2 linked regions of the Tribolium castaneum genome follow. The protein of the gene in region 1 purifies or fractionates together with the protein of each later gene. This does not show direct contact. Links are inferred from orthologs where the notes say so. Each region holds a gene or a part of one and is shown on either strand. Other genes may lie near its edges. The genes, in order: NADPH--cytochrome P450 reductase and EMC4.

Region 1 (13,121 bases):
CGTCCAAAACTGGCGAAAACATTGACGAACTGTTCGTCAGGGCCGCAGCTCTGAGCTTTAAACGGCACATTAACATAACTGGGACGGAAAACATCAACAACAATAGCAAAAAAATTGGAACTGAATTAATATGTATGACAAGTCTGTTTACATTTTTTTTTCAATTAATGGTGACTTTCAGGCGTGGAGAAAAAGAGAAGGGGTGATGATCGGCACACTGGGTGCGGTAGCAAGTGTGCAAAAGCTTAAATAGACATGTTTTTCCCCCAAGTATTTAGTTGTGTAGGCAACCAGTTATACGCCGCACGTGACCTTGCCGGAAGTATGTAATCACCAAAACAGCCTTGTGTTCGTTTTGCCCATTTCTCGCACTTTGGACAGATAAATTTTGTTGCGTCCGAGCCTTTGACGTAGTTACCTTATACCCAGTGTCTCTAGTTAATTTACGTTCACTGTTTTAATAAAATTAACGTAAAAAATTAAGTGTTCCCCCCTTGTTTTGCAACAGGTGTGGTAATTTCGGTCTGGGTGTTTGCAATCAAGAGGGCCTTCGCCAATTCCCGAGTTATCAACAGCCAGGTAATGAATAATAATTACTTGGACTGCACTAATAGGCCAGTTTGCGCGGCAAATTTAAATTGCGGGGAAAATCCCCTTGTGGAGGAATGACCCAACACGTCCCTTGTGTGCCGTGTTTTCGTGGTCAATTAATTCCGATTTATTCCAATTTCGACGTCACTGTATAGGTGATTCGTGATTTACATTTAGACGTTGTTTTCAAGTCACGTACACCAAGTTGTAGGTATGTACATATAAATTTGAGTTTTTGTCAAGGCATTTGCAAAATAAAAATTATATACTATTACACTTATTGTTTTTAAGTCAAGGTCAGCCTGAACGGACACGCGAAGATTGCTCTAATGACACCCATTTTCTGTCTCGTGTAATAAATAAAAATAAGTGAATCTGCAAACAAGTAACATAATTACCAGCAATTAAAACCGCACACCGCTGATTATAAGAAGTACCATTAGAAGTAAAACACCAGTAAAGGTCTCATAATCTTGTACTTTTCGTATTTTATTTTTTAAACAGTGGTTTGTACTTGAAAACACCGACAAACCTGTTCCGATGTCTACATTATCTTAATTTTTGCAGTGAAAATGTTGGAAAAGGTCATTAAGTCTTATCGGTTTATTAAAAATGAAATGAAATCATCACGTTTGAGATTAGAGTTTGTGTAAACAACTTGCATCAAAAAGTTACGGCGAAAGTGGAGCAAAATTATGGACAAAATTAGTAAAACGAATGTGTCCTAAAATCAGATATTCATTCAATGCGGACCATAATGCCACGTTCTCAATCACCCGAATGACGGAAATGGACTCTGATTGGCCCAGCGATAGGCAGTTTAATTGCAATTGTACCTAGTTTTATGCATTTAAATGGGCGATAAATTTAATCATTGTAATTTGTTTAGACCGCGGCGTAAAAAATGGCTACAGATTCAAGTTCACTGAAAAAATCTGTCACAAATTCAACCTGAAAATATCTAAACCCGATTGTTTTAGAACACAAGACGGCTCATCATTTTTTTACGATGGAAAGCTCTTTTGATGAGCTTTGTTTTCTCCAAAAAATTGAAAAAATAATGTTTGTGGTGTCAAAGGTATTTTGAAAAAAAAAATCATTAAGGCCCTAAAGAGTGATGATTATCGGATCACTAATAAAAATTATTAATAATAATAACAATAATAATGTGTTGCCAAATACAGGGTGTTTCACATAATTTTACGAGACCTATAGGGTAGGTCTAAAAAGTATGGATACAGTTAAATATTATAAAAACTATACATCCTTAAGAGTATATAAATTCTATCGTTTCAGATGTTTATCAAATTTATGTCCCTATTTGTTCTTAGGATACAAGGTTAACTTGAATTTTTTTTAATGGCAAGAAGGATCAAATTTCATATTTTGAGCATTTTTTCTGAGTTCTGTGGTGTAACACATGATCCCTTATTTTAATCGAAACTTAAAAAAATCGAATTAATAAAATTTTATTAGCCTTGGAAATGTTGTCTTCATTTGTTGTTAGCTCTTTGCCGCTTAAACATTCACCAAAAAATATGTAAAGTTAATAATAATTCTTGAAATAACACTTTCAACTAAAAAAGAATACATTTAAACACGAAATACATTTATGCTACAAAAGATGTTCAAAATTGGCATGACCAACCAACATGAGAATTTTTTTCGCTCAGTTAAACTAATTATTACACACAAGTTTCATTTTTGGACAATGTGACAGATCGCTAATAACAATATTTTCAAAGCTAACTTGGTTTTACTTTTCCAGAAATCGAAATTTAAATTTTTGAATTTTTAGTTTTTTTTTACTTTTTAATCAAAATAAAGGTGGGTATTATGTTACACTACTGAAATCAGGAAAAAACTTATAATTAAAATATTATAATTAAAAATTATTAAGTTTGACCCCTTGTCCCATTTAAAAAAAATCAAGTTAGCCTTGTATTTTTAAAACAAATGACGACAGAGAGTTCAGAAAGTTCTCAGATGATAGAATTTAAACACTTTTAACAGTTACCCAAATTTTAAGGTGCTCTGTTAAACTGTTTTGAAAATATTTAACTGTATCCATACTTTTTTAGAGACCCTGTATAATCAATAATACAGACACGAACTTCACTACAGTTCTTGAAAATTTTATAAACTTGTCCAATTTGTACACTCTTTTACAAAAATTGCAACATTTTTAATTAATAATAATTATTAGTGATAAGAAAGATTATGATTACATTCACTCAGATTAGTGATAAAAAACATGACAAATGAGTAATTGTAAACAATGATAGTTTAAAAACTACCTACTAAAGGCTATAACTTAGGAGACGAAACGAAATACAATATCGCAGGATTTTCAGAACCCAAAAAAATAATACGGTAGTAAATACGTCTTTTGAACGTCTTTGAACGATTTTGGGGCCTAAATGGTTGAAGGTAGGGATATAGCTGACTGAAATTTTATTCTCTAATTTAGGTGTTTAAAAGCTTGGAAAAAGTAGGAATAACTCACTTCTCGATCAAATTTTGCCATTTTCAGCTTATTCTTAACGAAATTTCGCTGAAAAAAAGAACAAAAAATCGAGTGAAACAGGCATTTTATTTTTGTGTTTTTGAGGCGTGTTGACGTCTTATAAAATAAATGAATTGTAGGTTCAAAAAGAAACACAATTTTTTCAATTTCGATCAAATTTGGTGATTTCTTAGTCAGTTATTACTAACTTAGTATGTGAACCTCTCGAAAAAAAAATTCTGTTTTTGGCTGGAAAACTTGCTAAACACTCAAGAACAGCAAAAATTCAACGAATTTTCAGTTTGCTGCTTTTTTATTTGTTTTAGCGCCGCCTCTAAACTTATTAAAATTTTAGCTCAAAAAAAACACCATGATTTTCGACCAAATGTTGTTTTTCAGCTAATTTTGACAAAATTTCAATCAAAAGCGAGCTAGATTGAGAGAAACTAGCATCAAAATAAAATAACATCAATTTCGATCAAATTCGGTGTTTTTCCATTAAGTTTCAAATAAATTTTTGAAAAAAAAAGAACTTAGTTTTAACCTCAACATGAAGAGAACTTAAATAACTCCCATTTTATTATAAGTAATAGGGTGATAGTATTTTGGTCGATTTTTTCAAAATTTTGTGAAATAATTTGATTTGATTCTTCTTACATCTGTAACCGTTGAAAAATATGGGGCAGAGTGCAAATTGGTAGAAGCTTGAAATTTGTTTTAATGTAGTTTACGATAAAATCTGTGTCTTATGTTGATGTCTTTTTGTTTTTGTTTGTATTTTTTGTTTCCTATGTGTTAACCGTTTTACAAATACAATTTTTTAAAACTCATTCCTTTGAAATAACGATTTATTTGTTTCATATCCTAACCTTTAGATATCCGTACAACTACCTACTATCAAGGATCCAAAATTAAAATAGAATTTTTAATTAAATGTGTTTTTTTTGGTTCTGATGTGATGTTTTTTACTTCCTGAATACAAAAATTATCTATAAGTAGACAACTGAGCATTTCGCGGAATAGTACGTGATGATGACAATAATAACACTCGTGGAAAATTAGCTTTCTATTTTTTTGCTTTCTTTTTCATAAATAATACTTTTATCTGCCGAATCCGGAGTTGAGCAATGACACGTAATTATTTAAAGCTTAAATTTTGTTTGTTGCCGATGATAATTTAGGAAGTCACGATAACAAATTTGCCAATTCAATATGCAAATAAATGTTATTACGATTTTTCTTTTTAATCATTTTAATGTAATTCCTTGCCGTGACGTCACACAACATTACTGCATGTAACACTTGCTATTTAAGGTCGCACGGTGCACGGACCCGTCCACTTTTAAATGTGCCTTGATTGCTTTCTGTTTCAACTCGTTCGCCAAAATGGATAAAAAAAATGTGTGCGATTGCTTGAAATTAGTTGGTGTTTTAGTTATTTCGGTGAGTCTAATTGTGCCTCAAGGACGCTCACTTTGCACTTGATTTGCATTTTGCTATTACGGTGCGCTTTTCCGATTGAGCATTAATTCGCTTCGAAACAATAAAAATCGGGAGATCCATTGTTGTAAAGCGCAGCATCATGGTTTCACTTTCATCGCGCAAAAGTGAAATTCAGAATGATCCGGCAAAACGAAAATTCTTATCGCAGTTATTATTCTCGCCGTTCAAAGTTCGTCATTATCTGTTCCTACATGTCATTCCATTTGCTAATAAGTCAAAGTGATTTTATCGATCGGAGCCATTGCGTCTTTAGTTTCGGGATTTTTTCAGCTACTCAAAATGGACGAAGCAGAAGCGAGTCTCGGCACCCAGCAGATCCCCGAAGCCTCCGAGTCCCTCTTCAGCACAATTGACATCATCCTGCTGACGCTCTTAATCGGCGGAGTCGCCTGGTGGTTCCTAAACAAGCAGAAGAAGAAAGATGTGGCCGCCACCGCACGCTCATACTCCATCCAGTAAGTAACTCCCTAAAAAACAATTCATTATTCTAATTGCCACTCGCAGACCCACGTCCATGACCCTCCAAACCAGCTCCGACAACTCCTTCATCAAAAAACTCAAGTCGTCGGGACGCAGCCTGGTGGTGTTCTACGGGAGCCAGACGGGAACGGGGGAAGAGTTCGCCGGGAGGCTGGCCAAGGAGGGCGTCAGGTACCGGCTGAAGGGGATGGTGGCGGACCCCGAGGAGTGCGACATGGAGGAGCTGGTGAACTTGAAATCGATCCCCAACAGTCTGGCTGTGTTTTGTTTGGCGACGTACGGGGAAGGTGACCCCACTGACAATGCCATGGAGTTCTACGAGTGGCTGCAAAACGGCGACGCTGATTTATCAGGCCTCAATTATGCGGTAGGTGGCCTTGGCCGACACGTGGAGGCCCGTAACTGATTGGTAATTGTAGGTGTTTGGCTTGGGGAACAAAACCTACGAGCACTACAACCAAGTCGCCATCTATGTTGACAAGAGGCTAGAGGAGCTGGGGGCCACGAGAGTGTTTGATCTCGGACTGGGCGACGACGACGCCAAGTAAGACAAACATTTTGTATAAAAATATTTTTTTATTTTCGTTAAACGCTAAGTACACCAAGTATAAATCATTAAGTGCACAGTATTTTATTTAAACGTCAAGTATTTTTTTTAATAAAAATAATAAATGCACAGTAATAGTTATTCACATTCCAAGGGAATTATAAGGGTCTTAACAGCCCTTTGGGCAGTAAATCCGTTGCCTAACGGGTGTATTGGGTAATAATTCCCCTAATAGATAAATAATGTTATTTCTTACCAAACTAAATTTCTACTAAAAGTAAAAATTTATTATTTTTGACGGAAGCTACGTATCTGAAATTTTTTTATTAAAAATTGTCTTATAAAAATGAGATAAAAAAGTAAAATCACTGACGGAATTTAAAAAAAAATGAAAAAAACACTTCTATTTTTTGGTTCCGAGGCGTACAAAAAGTTGTAGGTTGAATGGTTGAAGAAAACTAGGTTGGAGGGAATTATAAATCCTATAACTCCCAAGGGAATTGATTATCTTTATGGTTATCGTATCTAAGACCACCTCATGATAATTGTTTTTTCTTCTAGTTTGACTATAACTACTGTCATGAGTTTCCAAAAATTAAATAATTAATAATAATAATTTGTAAAGTTGTGTGAAACACCCTCTATATGACTACAATAGATTAAAAATAAATTCACAGTAAATACATACAGGGCTTTCATTTCAAAACTGAGCAGTGTATTTTTTTATGTAAACAGTAGTTACATTTTAGGTTTCATCCCCTTGTCATTGAATAAGTTACACTTACAGTGTATTTTATTTAATGCCCTTGCCGCTAGCTACCCTTATCTTAATTTTTTTAAAGGCACTTCCTAACGTCGCATTTTACCAAATTATTTTTTTAAATAAGGTTGATAAAAATCTATAGTTAATTATGATTAGATCTCTCATTGAAACTATAAATTACATTATCTATTAAATTTTTGAAGTGCAGAAATCATTTATAACAACTAATTTTGGTGTTTACTTAGTTTTCAAACAGACAATATATTCCATTTCAGTTCATTGTAGAATTTTGCAACAGCGTATTTGAATTTTTTGAAGTGAATAAAACACAAATTGAGTTCTGTATAAGCAAAGAACTTTGTGTTTAACTAAATCCCAGCGAAAAATGGACAAATCTTGAGCCAAGCAAACCCACTAGAAACTCTCAATTTGTGCTCCATTTCAATCCAAAAAATGTAAATGCGTTGTTGTAAAATTCTCCTATGAACTGAAATTAGATCTTGTGAATAACGATTTTTTCAGTGGGCACTTCACTTTAAACAAATTTTAATTAAAAGCTACCTAAAAAAATCGTAAACGCTAGGTAAAAATTATACACGCTATGTGAAGTCAGTATGTACTACTTAAAGATTGTTTATTTAAAAAAATATATATCAACGCAATAAAAAGGGCAGTATCGACCCATTTTGGCGCTCAAAGCCCCGCTCGTTGATTTTTTTCTATACGAAGTGTTTATTTGAATTTTTACTTTATTAATTATTTTTTGGGGCTACCCATCATTTTTACGAATTTTGATCAAAACAACATTTACCTAAGCATTGCTTGTTCTCTCAGATGAAACAAGGTATAACAATTTTTTACAGCTATACTTACACTCACCAAAAAAGTAAACGTACTTGTAAATAATTAATTTCAATTATAAGCAGTTGTAGAAAAAATCCGAAAAAATTTCAGGCTTACAGAAAAACACACTATTAAAGAGAAACCCGCTGAATTTTAATGTTAAAAACATCGTATATACATTTGGTGGACTCTGCCTGAATATTTCACCAAAACTTTTTTAAATTTTAGTGTTTGATTCATCATTCGCTGATGCTTTTCTTTTTTTTATTAATTTTGATAATGGTAATGGTGAGTGTCACAATGATTTTAAAAGTTCCCTAATCAACTCCTATTGTTTATTATAGCAATTAGTAACAATGCATACATACTTAAAAAATAAAAAATTAAGGTTAATTAAAAACAACAATGCCCTCAAGATATTTACTGGCTTTTCTGTTAGCAAATTCGGAAGTAAAATTACCGTTGGGGGCGCCACTGAGCTAGGTCGAAAACAGTAACCATAAATGGCGGGAAAATGTTTATTCGGATATTTTGAGTGTTGTACGAATTTTGGGGCTTCACAATTATTACATTGCCTATGCGGAATGACTATTGTATCTTTGGTGCAAGAAACTTATGTTGACGAATGAGAGATGACGAGGAAAACACGAATAACGAATGACTATTTGGTTCACTTTCTTTATTGGAAAATTATTACAAAGACATTGAAAAGCCTACCTTTTGGCATAATTTACGTTTAAATGTATCAGCAGTTGTTAATCTTTATTGTAGTTTTGTAGATTTACCGCAGCATTTCATGATTTTTTCAGTGGAAAATTCTAACCTAAAATTCATAACACTTCACTAATTTATTGGTTTCTTGAGCCAAAGTTTGTGTTCGCTGTGATCCATTACTTATAATCTTTAATTAGACAACTGTTTGATAACACTTCGTAATCAAAATTTAAATATTTTTCACTTTTTATCCACTTTCAAGTTCCAACAATAAACACTTTATACCACGAAAAACTACAGAACAAAAGTCAACGCTACTATTTACCACCACGTACTTTTAAAGTAATTCTTTCTATTGTAAGTAATTAATACTATACACGCAAAATTGTTGAACAATTCATTAAATGTCAGTTAAATGTGGCATTACGAAAATTTCTTTACTGTTTTCGACATAGTTCAAAAGTCATCACCAGAGGGCGTCTAGTTAATTTTATTTCCGAATACTATGTTAATAATTTTGTCAAAACTGCCAAGTCAATAAGCACTTTCATTAGATGAAAGACCTATGTCCTTGATTTTAAGTAATCCGCCTTCCAAGTTATGATCAAGTTATTATTTAATAAATAAAATAATGACCATGAATATTTTGTTCCGACCAGTACACAATTTTATTATTATTATTATTATTATTATTATTATTTATTAATTCTTCGAAATTGTTGCGCCCCAAACCCGGGATTCTTAGGCTTCTGTATTATTTTTTCTCTTATCAAATCTTTGAACTGTTTTTTTAAAAAAATATGTATTTATCTAGCAGTGTATTAGCATCCATTTTTAAATGTCTAACTCTCGTCTAGCATTGAAGATGACTTTATCACGTGGAAGGACAAGTTCTGGCCCGCGGTGTGCGAACACTTCGGCATCGAGTCAACCGGCGAGGACGTCAGCATGCGCCAATACCGCCTCCAGGAGTTCAAAGACGAAGTCCCGGAGAAGCTCTACACTGGTGAGATGGCGCGCCTCCACTCCCTCAAAAACCAGCGGCCGCCCTTCGACGCCAAAAACCCCTTCCTGGCGAAAATTCTGGTCAATCGTGAACTCCACAAAGGCAACGACCGGTCCTGCATGCACATCGAGTTCGACATCGAAGGCTCAAAAATGCGCTACGACGCCGGCGACCACGTCGCCGTTTACCCAATCAACGACTCCGACCTGGTCGAGAAAATCGGCAAACTGACAAACACGGACCTGGACACCATCTTCACGCTCATCAACACCGACGAGGAGTCCAGCAAGAAGCACCCGTTCCCGTGCCCCACCACCTACCGGACCGCCCTGACCCACTACCTGGACATCACCATGAACCCACGCACCCACGTCCTGAAGGAGCTGTCCGAGTACTGCACCGACCCTGCGGAGAAGGAGAAGCTGAAGACCATGGCGAGCACGTCCCCCGAGGGCAAAGCCCTGTACCAGCAGTGGGTCAACGAAGACAACCGCAACATCGTGCACATCCTCGAAGACATGCCCTCGTGCAAGCCCAAGCTTGACCACCTTTGTGAACTTTTACCGCGTCTCCAGCCACGGTATTACTCCATTTCTTCGTCGCCTAAGCTCTACCCCAACACAGTCCACATCACGGCGGTCGTGGTGGAGTACAAGACGCCCACGGGGCGCCACAACAAGGGCGTGTGCACCACCTGGCTGGCTCTCAAGAAACCGGCCCCGGGACAGGAGCCCCCAACAGCCCCCATCTTCATCCGCAAGTCGCAGTTCAGACTACCCACCAAAACGCAGACCCCCATCATTATGATCGGGCCGGGGACGGGACTGGCGCCCTTCCGGGGCTTCATCCAGGAGCGCCACCAAGCCAAGGAGGAAGACAAGGCTGTGGGTGAAACAGTTCTCTACTTTGGGTGTCGCAAGAAGGCTGAGGATTTTATCTACGAAGAGGAGTTGCTCAGTTACGAGAAGAGCGGGCTGTTGACGCTGCATTTGGCGTTTTCGCGGGACCAGGCGCATAAAGTTTACGTTTCGCATCTGTTGGAGAAGAATCGGGAGGAGGTCTGGAGGATCATTGGGGAGAACAATGGGCACTTGTATATTTGCGGGTAAGTTGGCGTTTCCGATAGCAACATGTTTTAAATTAAAACGCCCAAAGTTCTCGGATGTCTAAGTATGCAACTCGCATACGCTGGTTGCATAACGACAGCCCTCGAACTTGTGTTTTCGCACTCGTATAATTAATAACTATTTTAGGGACGCGAAATCAATGGCACCGGAAGTGCGTAATATCGTCATGAAAATTATTCAAGACAAAGATCAGATGACCGAGCAACAGGCGTCAGCGTATTTGAAGAAAATGGAAACGCAGAAACGTTATTCCGCCGACGTATGGAGTTAATAAAACGTTTCGTTAGGCGTAATTGTTGTAAAATTAATTTAAAAATTGCCAAGGTGCCCAAATTTGTTGAATTTCGGCGACATTCCTGCTATATTTCCAAGGACGGGTTGCTACTGTTAAATTTTACTAAACAATATTATATTTATAATAAATGGTATCGTTTTACATTGTTTTATTTTTTCTGTTTCCAAAATAACTGGCCACAAGTAAGTTGAAGGACACACGTTTTTTTGTAATTAATTCTTATGTAAAATGTTCTAGTGACTTCGAATCTTAAATTCGATTTTCTGTTTGGAATTGCCTTCATCGTGAAGACAAGATGTTCCTGTTAAAATTTTTTGGAAAACAAAATTGGTCAAATTTTGTGTTTACATCGTCTTATCTTCCTTCAGGATATGGCTAGAAACTTTATTTCTTTGCAAAAAATTCCTCAATGAATGGATTCTAACGAATAGACACAAATAAATGAATATACAAACTCTGTGTGGCAAAGTCTAGCCGAAGGCTGTTCAACTCAAGCCCAAAAAAAAATATAAACATTAAATAATAAGAAAAATAAAACAAATAACTTCAGAGAAGTACATAAACAAAACAAGAAAAAGAAACTAAAACTTAAAAATAACTCAAAAGTGAGTAATGTAATGATGAAAACCATAAGGTTTTGTGAAAAGAAGAAATCTTTGTACAGTGTACTACATTTATTCACCGAAACATTCAAATGAAAAAGTACCGAGGAATTCAAAACTTGTAACACCATTATAAATTAACGAGTGTTGAAAGATAAATGTACTAAACGGAGGCATAGAGATTATAACGTATGTTATAACATTATAAATGCTTTTTTTGAATCTATTTTTTTTCTAAAGTAGTATTTTCTAAGAAGACGAAATTGTTATATAAGTTTAAACATAAATGTACTCAATTAGTGTTGATAATATTTTCAACTTTTAACCAACGTAGCTAGGGTATTTTGAGCGAGCCATGATCGTATTTGTTTAGACCAAAAATAAACCCACAACTATTTAGAATTTTACGTAATTTTAATATTGTGATATTATCTAAACAAGGATAGTATAAAATTCAGCAATATTTCACTAATAATATAACTTTATATCTAATCATTTCGATATCTTTATCACTCACCAAGTTATCGCAATTTAAATTTACTGTGATATGCACTTGAAGTGGCATATTTCCTTTTGTACTCGAAGTGTTGCCTGTTTACTTTTCTCAAAACTTCTAAAACTCGTGTATTTACGTTAAAAACTACATTCAATGAGGAACTTTTTGCAAAAAAAATAAATTTCTAGCTTTATTCATAAGTAAGATACGAAGTAAATGAAAAATTACCACAAAAACGTCTTTTCCAAATCAAAAACCAACTTCGGATTCAAATTCAAGAAAACATTTTGCTGAAGAGTAAAGGTTCAGTTTTTGAGGATCGTTGATGAAGGCCATTACCGAAAATTCGTTTTAACAGTTAACGATTAAAGATTTCACGTTAAAATTAATCCCATTTTATTGCTATACGGCCAAAAGTATTTCATTTTCTCTTGTAGTTTAATTGTTGAAGGGAAATAATTTTCAAAAAACACAATTTTTTTTAGTTTTCAGATTTTTTTCTGAATTAAATAAAGCACTGATTGCATTTTAAAACACTTTCTCGCCTACAGCCCGAGTAGGAGAACGTTTCCTGTAAATAACTTTCCAAAAATGTTACTTACAACAGCTGTAAAACACCAAGACAATGGCTGAAATTCGGCGCTTTTTAACCCTTCATTCACAAAATAAAAGTAAACTGTCACAATGAAAAAAATCTGTTATATTTTACTTCCGAAAAGAAAAAAAGTACAAGAGATACTATGTACAAATATTTCATAAATACGAAACTAGAAAAAAGAATCATCAATCCTTAAAAATAACGAATACGTTTGCTGTGTGAAAACAGTGCAAATGTACGAAAAACCAGTTCGTTTTAAAATAAACTTAGAATGGAAACACCAAAACCATTGGTAGAAACAATAATAATAATAGGAACATGTATACAAGATAAATGGATTGATCATCCTACAGTCACCTAGTTGCTCCCCAAAAATATACACAAAAGCTAGATTAACATTATCAAAAAATACAATTCTTTATGTACAGTTTAAATAATGACACTAAACTACCACGTAAACGATAGCGCAATACACTAAATTTAAATTAGTAATTGAGCACAAACAATTAAGGTTAGTACTGAAAATAGAGCAGTCAATAAAACAAAACATCACAATAATTTAAAAAAATAAACAAGTTCTTGTAAATAAATGTACGAAACGACCGAACGCTTCAAACTGGTATAAAGCAACAAACTACAACCTAAGTTATGTAAAAATGTTCTCCAACAATATCATTCATAAAAACACGCTTTTCCAAAAATCAGCTAACTACACTAGATAATATTCACGTTCAACAAAAGCTTGATCCAATCAAGTGACTATTTAACAAAAAAATTACTTTACATATTACGCCACGGTAACACCTGCGGCTTCCTCCCCGCAATTTAACCATTCGGCGTGTCCTTGATTCACTAATTCCTGATTTAAAAATACTACTTGCTGAAAATAAACACAAGTAAACACAAAATCCAAATTCACCGCTCTACCTACCCTTGGACCTAAAATTAAATAGCAATAAACCAAAGGAATACCTTCCTCAGTGTAATCAACTATTTGGGTGTAGATGATCGCCCCCTTTGTCATTTCTACAACTGCACTGAACGCCTCAT
Region 2 (11,774 bases), on another chromosome or scaffold:
TAAATTGTACCCAAACATTCCAAAAAAAAGGCAAATTTAACACCACCTTTGGCTTGAACTAATTTTAGTTGAAACAGGCAAACCTAAACACTCTTCTCATAAAAATAGCTAAAAAAATTAATTTATCTATACTATAGCCTTGATTAAAGTAATTCTCCCGCAATTTTAAATTTACTTGATTTTCGGTTTTAGCAAAATCTTACAAAAAAACGTGTTTTCAGATCCAAAAACATAAATAAATAAAATTATTGTGGCTAAATGGTGTAGTTTTAGACTATTTATCTTTGGCAAAATTTCGTTCAAAAAAAGTCCAGTCAAACAATTTTGATGCATTTTAGTGATTTTGGAGACGTCAATTTCGACCTAATTTTGTTGATTTTTCAACCAGTCTTCGCAAAAATTTTCAAAGAAAGACAACTAGTTTTTACAATCAAAAACAGTGTACAGAGTGTCCATTTTTCGAGCTCCACCATGGGAATTTCAGTTATAATAAGAGATACGAGGTTGGTTAAATTAAGGCAAAGTTACGCATTTTTATGCTGAACAACTATATGAAAAAAAATTGATGTATTATTTTTTGTTTTTAAATTAGTGAGAAAAATAAAAAATATGAAATTTTCGTTTTTTTAGCGAAAACAAAAAGAATTTGACGTTTTTAAAAAGGACATTCTTAGAATACTTTTTTACAAGAAATCTAAATCTGTCCTTGCCTTTTCCAAGGCTTTCTTGATGTCAGGGTTATAATACTCAACTTTATTTTTTATGGACACTGTATTTGATACTTGTATTTTTAAAAAGTCTTTTTGTTCCTGATTACAACGATGTATCACATGATATGATCGAATCTTACATGTTAACTAAAATTAAGAAAAAAGCATTTTTGCAAAGAGTGCTTTGAACAAAAACGCCAAAAATTTTGTTTAATAAACTAAATTTTGACAGTTCACTTTAATATGCGAGCAGAATTTTTAAAACTTTGCCTTGTTTTGTTTTGCGAAGAATAAACTTCTAGCTTATCATGTCGTTTAGTGTTTAAGTAAGTAAGCTTGACGAAAATGTGAACGTTCTAGATACAAATTCAATTAAACTTCCAAAATAGTTTATTTAAACCAACACAATTGTTAGCATTTTTTCCAAAGCACTCTTCGTAAAAATGCTTTTTTCTCGATTTTAATCACCATACAAGATTCGATCATATCATGTAATATATCGTTGTAATCAGAAATAAAAACACTTTTCAAAAATACAAAAACCATATATGATTTCCATAAGAAAAGCCAAAGTTGAGTGTTGTAACTTTGACATCAAGAACACCTTGGAAAATTCGAAGACAGATTTAAATGCCTTGTAAAAGTGTCTGAAGAACGTGCTAGTTAAAAACATCTAGTTCTTTTCGTTTCAGCTTGAAAAAATAAAAACGAAAATTGCAAATTTCAATTTTTTTTTCCCATAAATCACAAATTTTCTTTCAGATAATTGTTCAGCATAAAAATAATTTAACCGACCCCATATCTCTTAAATAACTAACTGATGGTGAACCAAAAAAACGGATACCCTATATTAAACACCATTTTCAAAAATTTTGCAAAATTCGTCTCCTATTTAAATCTTACGGAAATACTCGATTTTTAATTAACAACGTATTAAGTTTGTGGTGAAACCGCGGTTACAACAGGTTGTTTTTTCATAAAAGTACCAGAACTGATGTATTTCACCAGATATGTGTTGCCAACTTAATTTTAAGTCACGGTTCACTTTAATCGATTTTTTTTACCTTCTTTGGCTCTGTTCTTCTTGCAAGCAGCAGTGGCAGCCGCCTGGAGAGAATGAGTTAAATAAATGTCCCTCTCGTTCAGAAATACGTCCCTAAACGCCGGATATTCGCCCGCCAATTCAGTCAATAACTGTTCTAACATATCACGCTTTTTACACTTCTCTATGTCTTCAATGCTAGAAATTAATCATGTGAACTTCACTAGATCAAATTAATACAAATTCAGTACCTGACTTTCTCTTTTGAAGTCAACAAATGCCACGCTAGCTTAACAGTCTGGAACCAAGTTAACTTGGACAAAGCTCTGTGGAGGGTGATTCCAAGGGGGCGATCACCTAGCAGCACCTCGCAATTGGGGATTTTTTCGGCCTCCTGATAAGCAACCCTAAATTCGCCCCCTGGGGCCATCCCCAACTCCTTCGTAATATGGGCACTCATATTCAAGAGCAAAATGTACATAATTCCATTGTAAAGGCCACTAGACTTAATATTATTAACAATTTTTTGCAAATCTATATTTTTGGCTTCTTCTAAGATTGTTTTTTCATCCAACGACAAAATGTTGGTCCTTGAGGCACACAGTTCCAAAACAACAGCATGTGGAAGAATATTGCGAATAACCTAAGGTCAAATGGGAAAAATGGCAAACACTAGTCAAGTTGCACTAACTTTGATAACATCCTCCTTGGATTCGTTGCTAAAGTGAGCCGTTCCAACGAGATAAACTTTGGCACCTGTTGCTTCATGTTTGAGAAGAGTCACCGTTTCGGGGAGATTATTGTCAAAGTCCTCGTCAGACTTGCCTCCGTTTGAAGACGACTGGTCGGTGTCGCCGATACTTAAAATTTCGAGTGTCTCGCTTTTGTCCGAACCGTGTTCCGAATCGGAATTCGCTTTTAAGGTGCTGTCGGTTAATTCTGCAATTTCTACCGTTGCAAAAGGGTAAATGCAAATAAATGATTTACCGAAATTTGTTAACGAGTTTTCCATTGTTGGTATTAAAGCTGCAACACGTAAAACTACAAGGGAACTAAAACTAAACTGCAAATAGCTATGAGAGAAAAACGACTTTTGAAAGTGTCAAATTTATGACAATGACAGCCGCATTGACGTTTCGGTTTAGGGACTTTCGGGTTGTTGGGTGCATTATGACTCCAAATTCAAAAAATAACACACAGCCTTCAGGAGTTTGTATTCTTTAACAATAAAAGTTTTCATTTGTGGAAAGTGAATCTATGATTTCATAGTTCCGATAGAGTCGCCAGAACGCGCAGTTGGTCAGTTCCGTTAAAAATTTCAAGAGCAATAGTAAATTGGAAAAATGACTGCATTTATATAAATCATGATTAATGGTGCACAATTCCAAAAAAAAACGCGTGCAAATAGTGCATTAAAGTCACAAATTAAAAATTATGTTGAAAACTACATTCAAATAAATAACTGCGAAAGTGCGAATGCAGTTGAAGATACAAAAAAAATGTAAGAAAAAATAAGTTGTAGAGTTAAGTTTTCTTCTTTAAACAAGTCTGCGGGACCGTATGTCTGTCTATCTTCTACGATTTAAGCCCCAATTTAACCGACCGAATACATTTCATTTTTGCCGATGATTTAGACGCGTAAAATTAATTTAAATCTAAGTCGTTGAAAATAGAAATATGGTATTTTTTTTGTTTATTTTTTATTTTCAGTTTGTGCCTTACACTTTTTGTATCTTCACACGTATTCGCTGCGCTGTTTGATAACCATGAAACGTACATAATTTGCAATAGGTACCTAGATTTACTTGATCTCTAACCGAGGGGTAAACCGCACTCCAAATTTTGTACATCAGATTTTCTCTAATTTAATAATGATTTTCCCTGATCTCCTTTAATTTACTCTAAATTCTTACAAATTCCACAAAATTTTGTTTATTTTTTTACAACAATTTTCTATGAGTTTCTCAAGATTTCCTCAATTTTATACACCGTTTTATTTTGAAATACAAAGATATCTATAAACTGAATTTAACACTTTTTATGTCTTAATTTGTTTCCGTTAGTAATGTTAGTATACCTATTTGAAATAATCAAATAATGTGTGGTATTAGGGCCGTTCCGGTTGATGGAAATTATAGATAATTAAAAAAAAAAATTCAAAACCTCAAAGAAACATCAAATGATGTAAAAATATAGAGAAAAATGGAGGATTATCGCGCAGCGACTAAAACACCTCATCAACGTTACAGCCATTTGATAATAGTATATTAAAAAACAAGTTTCATAAGACCAGTCTTTAAAGCACGAATTCAGTTTTTTGAAAGAATGTATGCTTTAAAATCTTATGAAACAAGTTTTTTATACTATTTTTTGTAATTTATCCCCTTTTTGCCGCTTGTGACAGATGGTAATATCTTAATTTTGAAAGTGAAAAATTGATTTAAAATTTTTGTTTTATCAAAGTATTGTCAAAAAACAAGAGCTTGGATGGCAATAGAGGTACCTAATCTTCGCCTCCTGAAATTTGTGAAATTCGCCAAACTACGGTCCCGAATTTGCTTCTTGCCAACCTAAATATTTTCATAAAATGTTCCGTCAAATAATGACTATTATGACATCGCACTTGATGCTTTAAGATGACTATTAAAGCATCAAAATGGCGGCAAATTACAAAAATGTATTTTAAATTTTGTCTTTGTAGATCTCTATAGTAGTCAATACACCAAAAAAAGTACTGAATTTATTCTAGTGGCATCGAATTAATTTAATTCGTTGGGTACACATTTGTTATAGTTATATAAGTTTTATAACTAGCTGTTAAGTTAATAGAATGAAATATGCTACCGTAGGTCAAAATGTTTTGTTAAAGTAGATTTTTTTATTTGTATCAATATGTCAGTCTGAGTTTCCTTTTGAACATAGTCAAGATCACATTGAGCAGTGCTTACTTTTGTAATTTTGTATATATAAACATTTATATTAATAATGTACAACTAAGGGTACACACCACGCAAGGTTATCCCCTCAGCATTTTATAGGAAAATAGTAAATATTTTTAATTGCTATTTTTTGAAAATGTTACGAACCTACAAATAAAAACGAAAAAGGCAAACCTTGGATCTCCGAAAAGCTTCAAAAAGCAATAGAAGCATTTAATAGGAAATCTTTTTTGAGGAGCAAAAAAGAAAAAGGCAATGGCTTTAAAAGCAGCTGCAAATAAATACCTTATTATTTGGATTATTAAAGACAAACAGTTTTTTTTTAATTAAGCATTCAAATCAAATTATGTCAGTTTCCTGATTCATGCAAATCATATTTTTTCAAAAATTCAGTAAAAAACATTGATGATAGTTACAAAAAAAAGAAAAGAGTAATAATAAGGTTCTTGTAGAAAACCAGATATCCGAAAAAAGTCGACCATTTCATAAAAGTGTTTCTCTTTTCAACGGTTTAATTGTTTGTAAGACAGGTCGTTAAATTAATTTCAAGATACTCAACAACATTGGTACTCCCATAAGAAGTAAAAACTTGAAGATAAAGATATGGTCCTTAAAGTTTTTAAATAGAAAATTAGTTTTCTAAAATTTTGTTTCCTAGCATACAATTTTTATAGGTATAAGCAAATTCAAGACGGTTTGGGTGTAGCTCGCTATATCTGAAACAGAGATAATCTTATCGCATTTTTTTCTGTTATGTGTGGAAATTTTCGTCGTCGGTTTTTCGCAATCTCTTAAGAATGTAAAGTTCAACATTTCTGCATTTATTCCAAGCAATTTCTCTGAATTTTAATTAATTTAACTCGATTTACGGAGCAAAGACCGTCTAACGTTCAAAGCGCCCTCATTTTACTGTGAACAGAAAATCGAATAATGTTGTCTCATACTTCCCTCAAATTAGTTTTCAATAGTCGCAAAATTTAGTGAAAAAGAAGCTACAAAAAAAATTATTCATTTAGTGGACTTGGTGAGTTTGATGTTCTTGGATTGGCGACCCAGGCTGTCACATGGCAGCTGTCACAAAATTTCAATGTCAAGCTGACGAACAATTTATACTTAAGTTAACAAAGAACGGAATAAATTAACATAATAGGCCCAAAACAAACTAGAAATATGGTTAGAGGATTGGTAAATATTCATTCGCAACCATTCGTTGGTTGTGCCAATTTTTATTTTTAAAATTCCAGTTCAGTTTTATCGTGGGACTTTATGCAGGAGTTTACCTTAGCCAAAACTATGATGTAAGTATTTTTTGTTGATTTACACAATAGTTCTATTGATTATTGAAATTTTGCAGATTCCGCGAGTGGACGACCCTCAGGCTTTATTTGAAAAGATTAAAGACTTTGCCGATAAACATAGGAAGCAATAGATTAATCGTTTAGTAGCTGTGTGTGATTTATTTAAATAAAATTATGCTATTACATTATAATAGTGATACACCACCACCCAAATATTCAAGTCTGACTGGGGGCTCCACAAAGGCCAACCAGTCGCTGGAATGTGTGGGCAACAAGCCCATACTTTGACACTTGTAAAGGGCTAAACCAATATTAATGCAATTCCCCAAAATGTAGACAAACATTTGTTTAAAAGCACTGCTATTTTCCACCATTTTGAATGTACTTTTTGTGGCGAAAATGGCCTGAACTGGCCTCATCAGAAGCATCCCAACCATCATAATTGGGAAAATTGAAATTGAATTCCCTGCCATGTACATGATGAACAAGTTCATTGGAACTTGCTTCAAGGGGGCTAAAGCCAGGTCCCACGATTTTTTAGTTATTAGGCGACTAACGTCCGTTTTTTTCGAAACATCACTGCTTGAGGCAGGTCCAGAGGGGCTAAAGGCTGGGGGAGCGGCCAAACCTTCTGCTACACTGCGATTTCTGAAACCTCGGGTAAAAGTGCAATACAACCACCAGAACGTACCTGGTATTGTCCAAAGCCCACTTTTGCCGCCTGATCTGAAGTTTCGTAGACATCCTGCTGCAATTTTGACACAATTATTGACACAAACTTATTAATATTTCAGGTTATGTCCGACTGTCGTAACTGTAACCACTATCGATTGCGGTAACGACACGCGTACTAAAAAAATTCAAACGAGTTTTGAATAAAAGAGATTAGGTCCGGGATTGAATTAACCGAGACGTAGTCATTTCCTGAAGCACCAAACCATCAGTAATTACCACTTAACGATTAAGTTTGACAAGAATAACAAAACACAAGTCACACCTCAGACACTGCCACCATGTCCACCAATCGTAATGATTGAAATTTACCAAGTGTTGAGGGTGTGTTTAATATTAAATTACTAGACTTATGTTGGTGGTAATGACTGATTCACGAATGAGTTTCGGTTCGCGCTTTTTGCTGATTGGAAAATCACATGTTATTTCGAACAATCGTGTTTAGTTCCTTGTGAATCAGTTAAAGGTCAGTTCGCAAGTGTAGATGGTCGTTAAAGCAATAAAAATAGTACACCGAAATGGAGAAGAATTCCAAGGGAAAATCGAATACATCGTCTCGGAGTAGATTTGACAGTTTCAACACCATAAATGAGAAACCGGTGGATGATATTTCGTTAGAAGCTTTCTACACCCCACATAGCATTTCTGCACTTGCAATATCGATAGCTATCGTTATTTATTTTGCTTTCGTTAGGTAAGTAATCATTTTTTAAATGTGAAGGTTAGGTTATGTAAGAACTGCACCTTTCAATACCCCTAGAAAGGGCTGTTCCGATTGGTATTCACTGACAAGTCGGTTCTTATCTATTAGTAGTTTTTTGCGTTTGTTTATCATTGATCTTTGACTCTTCTGCTCTAGAATCTAAGATAATTAATTGGATAAAACTATCCTCATTTAAATTCCTTTTTGTTGCAAAGATAATAACCTTCTGTAACTCCATATAAATACAAAAATTGCTAATTGGGAGTGATACACATGGATTTATGGGTGTAGGATGAGTCATTACTGCAAAATTCATTGCATGGGTCTCACTTAATAAATAGTGATGTTTAAATTTAAAATGTAAGTAGTGAGACTCAAAAAACCCATTGTCTATTCCAATTTATTTATCGATATGGGACAATTTATAATAATTACATTTACCTTATCCTTTCATGCACAACCCAAAGTATTGAAAATGACTGTGCTGTCTTTCTTAATCTCCAAATCGTAAGTTTTAGAAAACCTTTGTCCTTTGTAGTAAGTTTTTCTAGCAAATATTTAACAGTTATTTCCAATTCAAGTAGCATTTGTATGCTTTTTATTTTACGAGAAAAAGATTTGAGAAAATGAGTGGGCACTGACCAGTTTTAAATTCTCGAATAACGTAAATAGTATACCAGGTGGGCAACCTTATCGCACATCTAAGAAAATCGCGATTTGTAATTAATTAAAAAAATTGCATTTTACACGCCTGACTGTACGTTCAAAAGGTATATCCTCTAATTTTTTGGTAATTTTTTACTTACTTAAAGATAATAATTGGAAAAAGCAATTTTCGACCAAACCCACATTTACATTTTAACTTCAAAATTTATTTTTACTTATGAGTTGCTTCTTGTGGCGTCGTAAATTTAGGTGACAATGTGAATTAATTGGGGTAAGATTTCGTTGGAATATTTCAATGCAGGCATCAGTTTTATTGCAATACTGTAAATAAGGGGCTTCAAAAAGGTCGGCTACTGGTAAGTGATCCCTTTGTAGGCAAATTATACCATCTTCTGGTTTGCTTCTAAATAAAAAAGACCAATTATTTAACAAATTTAATAAGTAAAATTTATACTTCTGATATCAGGGTTCGATGGACTTGCAGGTAAGGATTCACTTAGTCTAAAAACTTTGTAGTTAAATTATAGGTAACAGTTAGTGCCCAAAATCTCATAAAACTGCTACGACTTTATTTATTAACAAAACAATTAAATAAAAATTGAGAATGGTTGTTATCAATGTGCAGGATTTTCATTTCATTAGAAATCGCGATTGTCTTGAGTGCGCGATAAGGTTGCCCCACCTGGTAACGAGTGTGGAAAGTGAGTGATATCGTGCGAGTGGGAATCTTATATTTTATTATTTGTTTATGGTTTCAATTTTGACGAATTATTTCTAATATTCGCCATGAGTGCTATGTAAGGATTTTTTAGACACCGACGTTACCTTAAACCTAATTTATGATATCCTTATCATATAAAGAAAAGTAAAAAAAAATCAAAGACTGTGCTATAAATTATAATACAGACTGATCCAGAAATACTGAGTCTGTTGGCAACACATTTGAAAGTATTTGTGCTTGTAATTTGCAACACTGTAACCGAATTCGATTTTTCTTGACAATTATTTGACGTACAACCCCACAAGAATGTTAAACAGTGTTGCCAACAGACTCAGTATTTCTGGATCAGTCTGTATAATAATTATTATTAATTTTCTTTATTTTTTTTCTTGACATCACTCAGTTCTTCCTATCGGATGAAGTTATTAATTCAGATTCTGGAATAAAACTCCCTTGTTTTTCTTTTATAGTGTTCAAATGCGGTTTTAAATTCTGTTTCGTTACACTAGTAGTAAAATTTAAGGTTGCAACGACACTACTAAGGAATTATGGTATGGCAATCTGAATGTTAAATGGTTAAAATAAACCAACTTTAAATTTATTTTTTAATTATTGAAAAAAAAAAATGCAGGGTATTCCAAGTTTTAGCACCCGTCAAGAAATAAATATTTCTAGTCGAGTAAATTTAAATTTTTTAAAATTAAAAAAAAAATGAGTAATGGAGTGTTATACTCGAAAGTAAAAGTTTTTGGAAATTGCAGATTCTGAAAGTAGACACAACATGATGTCTAGTAATATCGGTCTGAGTTTTTTAAATCGGTACTTTTTTAGTAATAATAGAAAATTCGCGCTGTGACGTAGCAATGTCTCGACTAATGATTCGTCAGTCTTTCGCTGCATACAATTAATGCTACGACCTACGTTTGGGTTGGTAAACGTCAAATACAAATGTCAAAGCCGTGCGTTGTCGATTGTGACTGTGTTGTGTGCTAATATTTTGCAGAAGTTTATGTTTTGGTAAAATGACTGCTCTTGCAGCACATCTGAAGTCGTATGTAAAACAACAGAGGCAGAAATTAAGAAAAAACGTACGTCTTTCAAGCTATCTTTGTTGGCCCAGTTTTCTATCTCAAGTTCTGTGCCTGGCTGATTCAAAAAGGAACATTGCTGACGTCAGGCCAGGAATTTTCACCTTTTCAATTATTTTTCTCCAAAACGGTTGAGCTTTGCTTAAAATAAAAAAATATGGGTAGCCTATTTTGTTGTTGGCTATCCGTATAAAAATTTTCATTTTTTAGTATTACACTCCATTGAACTTTCAATAAGTTCAATTGGCATTTAATTTCTATGTGTTATAATCTCTGGTGTTATTTCCAAAGTTGGAACCTACTATTTATTCGGACATTGTGACGGTATGTTGGAAATCCTTATAATTAGTTACTTTTGTATAATCATATTATATAACTGAAATAACAGAGAATTTAAAATGATTAACATTAAATTAAAAAGAGAAACATCTCCGATACTTACTACTATACGTGTGTTACTAGTAGCTACTAATTCATCTTTTCATCTTATGAGTATCACACTTGATAGATTTTATCTATAAATTACGTTGATGAAAGACAATAATAATAATTAGTTAGTTCTTTATGTTAATTTGTGGGTATTGAAAAACGATTGTTTTGCGGTTAAACAAAAGTAGATTAAATGCTCAGTTCATTTATTTTATTAAGAGTTAATTTATAGTTGTTATTCATTATTGAAAATTTTGCACATTTCAAAGCATGGTATTATATCGAAATAGTTGAAATGTTGAGTGTTCCGTTTTAAAAAAACACATATACAGGGTGTTTCGTCTAAACCCCATTGGTAGTTCTAATAATGATGGTTATCTGAAAATTTGTATACAACCCTAATCTGTTACGTCCTGCTCAATGAAAATATTTTCAAGATGGTGACACTTCCAGTTATACCGGAATACTAATACATATCGATGCAGAACAAAATTCTCCTTCATCTAGTAAAATAAAAACTAGGGCATCCCATTTGAAAAAAATAAGTTATGGGTACTTGAAATTCTCCAAACTTAACTCAAAAATTTTTAGGTTTATTATCTTCATTTACAATTTTGAACACACTGAAGAACAGATATAGGCCTTCTTCTTTAATTCTCCAAATATGATTTCGAAATCTCTAAAACTAAGAGAGTTACCGATCTTTTAAGGTGCAAATCCAAAAACTACAGAAATTCTCAAAAAATCTTAAATATCTCGAAGACGGTTAAACTTGGTATGGGGAAAGCTAATAAACACGGCTTTAAAATAACTCAACTAATCAAAAAACGCAGTGAAAAATAGCTTTCCATTTAAAATAATGAAGTTGATAGCGACCTCCGGTATAATCGGAGGTGCCGCCATCTTGAAAAAAATTTTATTGAGCAAAACACAACGGATTATGGCTGAGTACCAACTTCCAAATAAATATCTTTATTAGAAATTTCAATGCTGCTAATGTGGGGTTTAGCCGGAACAGGCTGTATACCTTATCAAAGCTAGTTCGGTGTATAGAACTTTAAGAAGTTACAAACCACAATTTTTTCTTTGCGCGTAAGCGCTCCGGTCCTCGTATTTAAATATAGTCACTTCTCTTTCGGTCGCAGCTTTTAATAAATCAATTTCTGGAACATTGAAAATTATACAGGAAAGTAGGGGTTGTTTTTTCAGCGTCAGTTTTTGTTGTAGGGATACTGAAAACGTCGAAAACAACATATGGGCAGGCATGCTATGTTGCATCTTCTTCTTCCTCATCATCTCAGTGTTGGCATTCCCCAACGGTCCCTTCACTCGTCCACATCCGGCCGTTTGGCGCGTCGTCTTCGGCATGAGCGTCATCTATCTCATGGGCTGTCTCTTTTTCCTTTTCCAAAACTACCAAACCGTCAAAAACATCCTTCTCTGGTT

Evidence for each region.
Region 2: the proteins of NADPH--cytochrome P450 reductase (region 1) and EMC4 purify together in Homo sapiens (affinity purification with mass spectrometry; 3 studies listed by BioGRID and IntAct, with this or other methods). This does not show direct contact. The link is inferred for Tribolium castaneum from reciprocal best matches to the Homo sapiens genes POR and EMC4.

Annotation. Positions count from the first base shown.
Region 1 is NC_087395.1:17,531,474-17,544,594, forward strand, and holds NADPH--cytochrome P450 reductase, read left to right. Parts: upstream 1-4,380; 5' UTR 4,381-4,483; coding exon 4,484-4,540; intron 4,541-4,870; coding exon 4,871-5,055; intron 5,056-5,104; coding exon 5,105-5,447; intron 5,448-5,499; coding exon 5,500-5,624; intron 5,625-8,804; coding exon 8,805-10,058; intron 10,059-10,206; coding exon 10,207-10,351; 3' UTR 10,352-10,516; downstream 10,517-13,121. Other genes in the region: ras-related protein Rab-36, read left to right, coding at 1-132, 182-249; spoon (KH domain-containing protein akap-1), read right to left, coding at 12,859-12,951, 13,003-13,121. UniProt on the Homo sapiens protein: This enzyme is required for electron transfer from NADP to cytochrome P450 in microsomes. It can also provide electron transfer to heme oxygenase and cytochrome B5.
Region 2 is NC_087398.1:15,107,265-15,119,038, reverse strand, and holds EMC4 (ER membrane protein complex subunit 4), read right to left. Parts: upstream 6,933-11,774; 5' UTR 6,734-6,932; coding exon 6,681-6,733; intron 6,638-6,680; coding exon 6,175-6,637; 3' UTR 6,129-6,174; downstream 1-6,128. Other genes in the region: traB domain-containing protein, read right to left, coding at 1,775-1,950, 2,004-2,395, 2,444-2,691, 2,740-2,764; Pss (phosphatidylserine synthase), read left to right, coding at 7,240-7,415, 11,556-11,774. UniProt on the Homo sapiens protein: Part of the endoplasmic reticulum membrane protein complex (EMC) that enables the energy-independent insertion into endoplasmic reticulum membranes of newly synthesized membrane proteins.